2 linked regions of the Caenorhabditis elegans genome follow. The protein of the gene in region 1 interacts with the protein of each later gene in a biochemical or structural test. Each region holds a gene or a part of one and is shown in the gene's direction. Other genes may lie near its edges.

Evidence for each region.
Region 2: the proteins of brc-2 (region 1) and rad-51 form a complex in vitro, tested with the Caenorhabditis elegans proteins (one study listed by BioGRID).

The regions. Positions count from the first base shown.
Region 1 is NC_003281.10:6,901,268-6,905,191, reverse strand, and holds the start of brc-2 (DNA repair protein brc-2), read left to right. Parts: upstream 1-2,085; 5' UTR 2,086-2,114; coding exon 2,115-2,137; intron 2,138-2,212; coding exon 2,213-2,363; intron 2,364-2,458; coding exon 2,459-2,562; intron 2,563-2,606; coding exon 2,607-2,746; intron 2,747-2,829; coding exon 2,830-3,003; intron 3,004-3,054; coding exon 3,055-3,177; intron 3,178-3,220; coding exon 3,221-3,305; intron 3,306-3,351; coding exon 3,352-3,448; intron 3,449-3,687; coding exon 3,688-3,815; intron 3,816-3,880; coding exon 3,881-3,924. Other genes in the region: T07E3.3 (DSBA-like thioredoxin domain-containing protein), read right to left, coding at 158-319, 367-645, 690-814, 870-1,011, 1,229-1,297. UniProt on the Caenorhabditis elegans protein: Required for the homologous recombination repair of DNA double strand breaks, thereby playing a role in chromosome integrity. Acts by targeting rad-51 to sites of DNA damage and stabilizing rad-51-DNA filaments by blocking ATP hydrolysis catalyzed by rad-51.
Region 2 is NC_003282.8:10,282,176-10,286,099, reverse strand, and holds the start of rad-51 (DNA repair protein RAD51 homolog), read left to right. Parts: upstream 1-1,855; coding exon 1,856-1,880; intron 1,881-1,964; coding exon 1,965-2,044; intron 2,045-2,085; coding exon 2,086-2,367; intron 2,368-2,603; coding exon 2,604-2,750; intron 2,751-2,804; coding exon 2,805-2,962; intron 2,963-3,448; coding exon 3,449-3,540; intron 3,541-3,589; coding exon 3,590-3,866; intron 3,867-3,924.

The DNA.
Region 1 (3,924 bases):
ACAATGAATTTGATCGAATTGATTATAATCACCGTAGAGGGTACAGGATTTGGGAAAAAAAAAGACTAAACTGATGCGAGTAAAGTGCAATAAAAGTGGGTAAATATGAAGAAAAAGGTGGGTGAGGAAGGAAGAATTGGAAACAAAAAAACTAAATTTAAAGTCGATTTGCAGACATTTTTTGCTCGACTGGTTGGCTTGATGATACACTTGAGAGCTTGGAAATCATGATATTATCATCAAAAATATCATTGATTTTATCAACTTTTATAGTGTCTCCTTCATCAGTTAACAAGATTAATCCGGGTGCTTCAGTAAGCTGAAAAAGGAAATTCTTGATTTTATTTCTAGAAAATTAAAATTTACTTTGAAATCCACGGCTTCTTTGCAATTTTTGTGTAGTATCGATCGATTTTCTGGAGATGAGAGACGAGCCACAATGTCTTCTGCGATTTTGAATGAGATTCCAAGTTCACGGCATACTGTAGACATGTGACACCCGTAGTGAACTGGAAGTCGCTGCTCCCAGAGCCGTTTTCCCAAGTGATGAATTGCTTTTTCATAGAGGTCTGGGTATTGTTCACGGATTGAAGTGAGGAACAGCTGAGGGATGACCGATCCACGTGCTACCGCTGTTTTGTAGGTCTAAAAATATTTGTTTGAGAATAAATATTCGAAATCAATCTAACGTTTTTCCAATCTACAGGTGGCACGACACGCTCACAACCAATAAGTTTCTTGCCACGCTCGTCGATTTTTTGTAGAATTCCCATTTCTGAGAGTGTTTCTTCGCTTTCTGCTTGCTCTGGAACTTCTGAAATAACTTTCCCGCGATTATTTGGATTTCTATATATTTTCAAACTACTTACCTATTTTCGTTTTCCAAAGTCTCGAATTGTGTACTTGTCGACGTTGGTTCCAGATTTGAGCATTATGAAGAATTCCAATTTTAAAATCACAAACTGGCTCAAAATCTATACGCTCGAATAGAGAATTGTGTGATGTAAGAGCCTGAAAATTATATTTGATTTTCTTTCCATCTTTTTTTATTTTCGGGAATAATAAAACATTCAAAAAGGGCTGAGATCTATCTATTTTTCACATGCGACCCATTTCTATTTCACGTGAAGCACATGATTCTGAAGGGCAATGGAAATGAAAACCCGGAAAAACAAAATCTTTCAGTTTAAATTGTATCAAAACAAGTTTTTCTAGATTACAAATGTACCTGAATAGTGATCCATGAATTGGGACAGACCACATCGAAATAACATTTCACACGTGGCAATGGAGCCATTTTGAAGTTTGGCTGAAATTAAATTTATGTCGAGAAATTAAAAAAAATCAGAGCGTCATCATGAGAAAATAGGAAAGGTTTAGACTGTAAAATCAGGTTTTCATGGCGGGAATGACATTAAAATGGTGATAAGGTGATTATTTTATCAAAAGAATTTTTTGAATGATTGCACCTAAAATCGAGTGCTTTTTCTTTAATTTGATTATCAAAAGAAAATACCCAAGAAATGGAAAATGAAAATTTAAGAGATGAAAGGAAAAAGCGACCCGGAAAAACATCAAGCTGGGAAGAAATCTCAACTAGTTAGACCAAAGCTTCGAACTCTGCGAGCATGTATTTTTTTTCCTCACTTTCTCCTTTTCTTCTCTATTTCTCTAGATCTTTATTACTGCGGGGGCAAAAAGAGTAAGAGATAGAAAAGAATGACGCAAAAAATACACGGATTTAATATTTGCTTTGCTTTTTTATTCAGAGAGGAAAGGTCAATTGGGGGTTTCCCCTCGTTTTATGAATGAAAACCGCACATAAATATAATTATTTCCACAGTTTTAAACGGCAGAAACGGTTCGTGTTATAATTTGTGAGATAATTGATTTTGCATTACGAAATTAGAAGAAAAGGCGGAAATAAATAAATTAGTGTCGCAATTTTTTTCTCAAAAAGGAAATAATGCAATTACGCTCCACCGGACAGTAAAATTCTCAGTTTATTTGAAAAACAAAAATTTAATTTTTTCCCTTTTTTTCAATTGAAATCTCAAATTTCTGAACTCAAAATGAAATTTTCAGACTTTACCAGAATATTGTGACATCGACCGATGGGTGACTCATCTAAAAAAGTGTTAGTCAAGATTTATTTTATTGTTATAGCAAGAAAATTGAGAAACATACATGAATTGCAATTCTTTGTTTTCAGAAAAGACAGTTTCGACACAATATCTGAACCAGACAGCTTTGATGAGCCGAAAGGCGTACCGATATCAATGGAACCGGTTTTTTCAACAGCGGCTGGTATCCGAATTGATGTGAAGCAGGAATCGATTGATAAATCAAAGAAGATGTTGAATGTAAGCTTTGGAATTAAAAGGAAATAATGGAACATATTCTGAAATTAACTTCGACAACACATTTATTCTTCTAATATAAAAAATTTCAAATTCAGAGTGATCTCAAGAGCAAATCCTCGTCTAAAGGCGGATTTTCTTCCCCTCTCGTGCGCAAAAACAATGGGTCGAGCGCTTTCGTTTCACCGTTTCGAAGAGAAGGGTAAGTTTCAAAGGTGCTATCTAGCTCGAAGTTTTTCTTTTCAGAACGAGCTCAACAACTACAAAACGGCCGGCTAGCGGCGGTTTCGAAGATTTCGAAGCTCCACCAGCAAAAAAATCAACCAGCAGTTCTTCTAAAAAAAGTAAAAAACATTCGAAAAAAGAAAAGAAGAAGGAGTTTAAAGGTTAGTTAAGCTCTAGAATTGGCTCTCCTTTTTGAAAACTGTTCTTTATTCCGTAATTCTCGTAATCCGGAGTCTTTTTTCAGAAATCCACGCCGATGTTTTGCGTGTTTCTCGAATCTACGAAAAGGATAAATTCCGAATTATTCTTCAAGAATCCAGCTCAACTCCTCTAATCCTGGCCACTTGTAGCTACAATCGTGGCTCTGATATTAAATTTGGCGACAGAATTCATGTCGACGCGGAAGTCTGTAAAAAATGTAATGCTCAATCGATTGTAGCTATTGATTTAATTTTTCGTAAACTTTCAGCAAGCTCAGGCGATGTTACAGAAATCTATATTGATAGAGTTCTGAAAAATAAGGAAAATGGTGCGAAATCCGGTATCCGACGCCATTCAATTGCCAAGAAGCCGTTTTGCATCAAACCCAGATGTGAGCCATTTCGAGTTTTCACCTAAAAAAATTATTATTTCAGTTATCCACGAATTGTCAGACACGAAAATCAAAAAAACAGTTGTCCAAGTTAACTTACTCGATTTAAATTTGGATTTTTATGCAGGGTACATACTGATTCCTTGATAATTAATATAATAATATTGGTTTCAGATGTTCGAAATGCAAACACTCTCTCCCAGAAGCAGCGAATCAATGCGAGTTTTGTAAGGATTCCCAAGGAAAATCTGAATTGTCGATGTATTCTAGAGTATGTTCTTTATATTTATATTGCCTATTTCCTAATATAGAACATTTTTAATGTTTTGGATAAATAGCCTATTTTCAGCTAAAATCTCAAATTTTTCCGACTTGTCAGTGGTGCGGCGGTCGGAACTCACTTCTGCGAGTTGTGACATTGTCAAGTTGACAAAGTTTGAGATTTTAGCTGAATTTAGATAATTTTTTGAATTTTAGTTTTTGGGAAGTATCGTTACAAAAAAACTTCAGGTGCGAGTTATGGACTTCTCCGGTCAAATGTTTATCAATGTGACTACAAAAAATATGAAGAAATTACTCGATTTGTTAGGATATGAAGGATTTGACAATTGGTTCCGATTCAAAGACCCCCAGGAACGGTGAGATTTTTGCGGCGTTTTAACTTTCAATTTATAATTTTTTAAATTCCGTTGCATTTTTTCAGACAAAACTATGTGTTCCGCCCTGTTATGGTTGAAATCGAAAAAT
Region 2 (3,924 bases), on another chromosome or scaffold:
TTAATATTAATCAAAAACATTTTTTCAAATTCACAACTTCTGATCGCACTAGTAACCGGCTCACTTATAGATGGAAAACCTCTAGATCTAAACTTCGATCCCAATTGTTCACTCATCATGTGTTGAGTTTAATTTTAAGCCCAAATGAAATCAATTACCCTAGTTAGTTACAATTCTCATGCAAAGATTTTATTAACAAATTTCACTTCTTTATGTAGTTTATCAGTAGATACACATGTGTTTCGCGGTTTTTTAAATATTTATGGAATGTAGTTGAGGCATCAGCAATATGATGAAGCAAATATTTTGCACTAAAAGTCGCAATTAGCAATATATTGCTAGAATGTTGGTGGTCCCGCAGCGAGATTAGCGATTTGCAAATTGCATCTAAAATACTGGTGGCCATAAGTATTTTATAACGGCGAATCACCTGTGTCATAGCCTTTCTAAATTATTTGCACTTTCATCATAATTTTTTTTCTTGCGATTCTCTCCATTTTCCGTTCAATGAACGATTTAATACGCATGTTCAATAATAATAAAATTTATCCGAGAGGAGTACAGAAGAAAATTAACATCGCTGCGAGACCAATCGCTACAGTACTCAATGTCGATTTACGGAGGAAACATGTTTTGATTTCTCATTGTTTCTTTTGTCATTTTTTGTCATTTTAGTTTTAAAACTTAATTATCCTCTAATGATTTGCGCGGTTTTTTATTAAATTTTTGATTATTCTCGTAGCTTTTGAGTTAAACTAATTAAAAGTCTTCAGCTATGCTAAATTTTGCTTCCTTTTCTTGAATGAAAACCTAAAATGAACAAAATTTTTTGTCATTAAATAACAACGCTTCGGTTAACGCTTGAAATTGATATTCGGAAAATAAAAAGCCTGATTTTTGTTCGATTTCTGAAATATATTTCATGCTTTACCCGTTTTTAATTGCGAACAATTCTAAATTTGAAATATAATTTTCAATCAACGAAAAACAATTTTCAAGATAAAAAATTATTATATAAATTTAAGCTAAGTATTAATAAATTAATAAGTAATAGTATTCAAAAATCATAGAATCTTGCAAGAAAAAATGTTTTAAAGATTTAATAGTTCGAGTGATTGAAAAACGAATAGTACTTTAAAAAATAATGCTTTAAGGCAGAAAAGTGATATAAAAATTAAGCTCAAAAGGGCAAAAGATAAGGTTAATGTCCAGTTTTGGTTTTAAAATGGTTCGGACACAATGTACATAGTAGACATTTGGGTGTCCTCTTCCTTCTCTTTTCCCCATTGCGTCCACTGACCCTCCTTGCTGTATGTCTGCGCATCGTCTTTTTCTACACTTTTTCCTTTTCCCTGGCCCGTTCCTATCGGTGCCTTTCACACACGCGAGCGGCAGTGGACGAGACGGGAGGGCGAGGTGTTGAACAAGAGTACAGCAAGTGCGCGCCATCGAAAAAGCGGAAAAAAAAATTTCAAATGGCGCTACTTTGAAAATTGAGAATTCTGTATTTACTGCCAGTTTTACTTGCATTTAAATTTCCATGTTTTCTATTCTAAAACGAAAATCTATCTAAGAAAACCCTTAATAAAAACCTATAAATCATAAATTGTGATTCTTAAATTCGAAAATATGTTCGTTCAACTTGACGCCTAGAAATATGTGGACTTAATCCTGTTATAAATCAGTAGTTGACGACAAAAATAGTAGAGCAGCAAAAGCAGTTCTAACTTGTGAAAAACATGAAAGTTCTTGTTTTCGTCAAGCGAACGGGGGCTCGAGGAAGGACTTGGCACGTGTCTCTAGGCCATGTTTTTCTCAATTTTTGTTGCTCTAGAGAAAGCTTTTGCTATTGATTATGGGACAATCTTGGGGATATGAAGGTAACATTTTAAAAATAAGTTTAGGTAAATGTGTAGCATAATTTTTGAAAAAAAAAGCTCCACTGTTAAAAATGCCGATTTTAGGGATTGCGAAACGTTCACTATGTACACATAAATGGCTATATAATTTGAATTTGCATTCAATAAATCTTTTCCTTCCAATTGTATGTTTTAACTTAAAAATAATTAATTAAAATTATCTCAGGAGTCAAAAATGTCAGCTCAAGCAAGTCGTCAAAAGAAATCGGATCAAGAGCAGCGTGCAGCTGATCAAGCTTTGCTCAATGCAGCAATCGAGGATAATGCGATGGAGCAAGATGAAAACTTCACAGTTATCGATAAACTTGAGTCTTCAGGAATCAGTTCTGGCGATATTTCAAAACTAAAAGAAGCTGGATACTATACATACGAATCGCTGGCATTTACTACAAGACGCGAACTCCGAAATGTCAAAGGAATTAGTGATCAGAAAGCTGAAAAGATAATGGTGAGCATATCAAAAAATCAGCTTATTCGAGAATTAAAGAAAAAAACTAAAAATTCTGTGGCTTTATTTTTCAAAATCCAATTAATTGAATTGAAAGTATCAGAAAAGTTGATACATTTTTCGAGGTTAGCTCCGAAAAAGAATGAAACGATCAGCTGCAAGGTCAGTTTTGACGGCAAATCGACCAGCTGTGAACATGTAGACATCGGCCTCATATTTCAATGATTTAATTTCAGAAAGAAGCCATGAAATTCGTGCAGATGGGATTCACGACGGGAGCCGAGGTTCATGTGAAGCGAAGCCAGCTGGTGCAGATCAGAACTGGATCTGCTTCACTTGACAGACTGTTGGGTGGCGGTATCGAAACAGGCAGTATCACTGAGGTGAGTTTATCACGGATAAACTGACAACAGTACTCAATAAAACATTTATTTCAGGTTTACGGAGAATATAGAACAGGAAAAACTCAGCTTTGCCACAGTCTGGCAGTCTTGTGTCAATTGCCGATTGATATGGGAGGTGGTGAGGGAAAATGTATGTATATTGATACCAATGCCACTTTTCGACCCGAACGAATTATTGCTATCGCTCAGAGGTTTGTGATTGAGAATTATTCTTAAAAATCCTGAATTTGTCATAATTTGATCTCCCGACTTGAAAATTTAAAAAAAAATTAAAATTTATTTCGAGAAATCAGTAACATATTTTCTCAGTCTGAAAATAGCTGTTATTTTTGCTTGAACAATTGAAAAGGCCAAAAATGGTCTGCAAGTTGGAAATTGCCGTAAATGAACTTTCAGAGATGTTCCGGGTCTTTTTTTGGCGAATTTCAACTTGCAGGCAATTTTTTAGCCTTTTCCTTATTGTTTCAACAAATATAAGTTTTTTTTTTCAGATAAAGTAAATATTTCTCTATATTCTATCACTAAGTTTGAAATAAAAACGTTTGGAGAACAAGTCGCAATGGCTCATTTTGTACAATTACTGGTTTACGCCACATGGCTTGAATTTTGGCATTTGAGAATTTACCTTATTATGGATCTTGTAGCATTTTTTTGAATATCGAAGTAATTTCTTGCAGATACAATATGGACAGTGCTCATGTACTCGAGAATATCGCTGTTGCACGTGCATACAACTCAGAACATTTGATGGCTTTGATTATTCGAGCAGGTAAATCTAAATTTCAAAAAATAAAAAAATAAACTTTTTCGTGCCATAGGAGCAATGATGTCCGAGAGTCGTTATGCTGTTGTGATTGTTGACTGTGCAACTGCTCATTTCCGTAACGAATACACTGGAAGAGGAGATCTAGCGGAACGTCAGATGAAGCTCTCTGCTTTTCTGAAATGCCTTGCCAAGCTTGCCGATGAATATGGTGTCGCTGTAATTATTACCAATCAAGTTGTAGCACAAGTCGACGGAGGAGCCTCGATGTTCCAGGCTGATGCTAAAAAGCCCATTGGAGGTCACATCATCGCTCACATGTCTACTACCAGGTAAACATAGTTGGAGGTTTTCTGAAGATTTTGAACAAATAGAGAACATATTTAATTT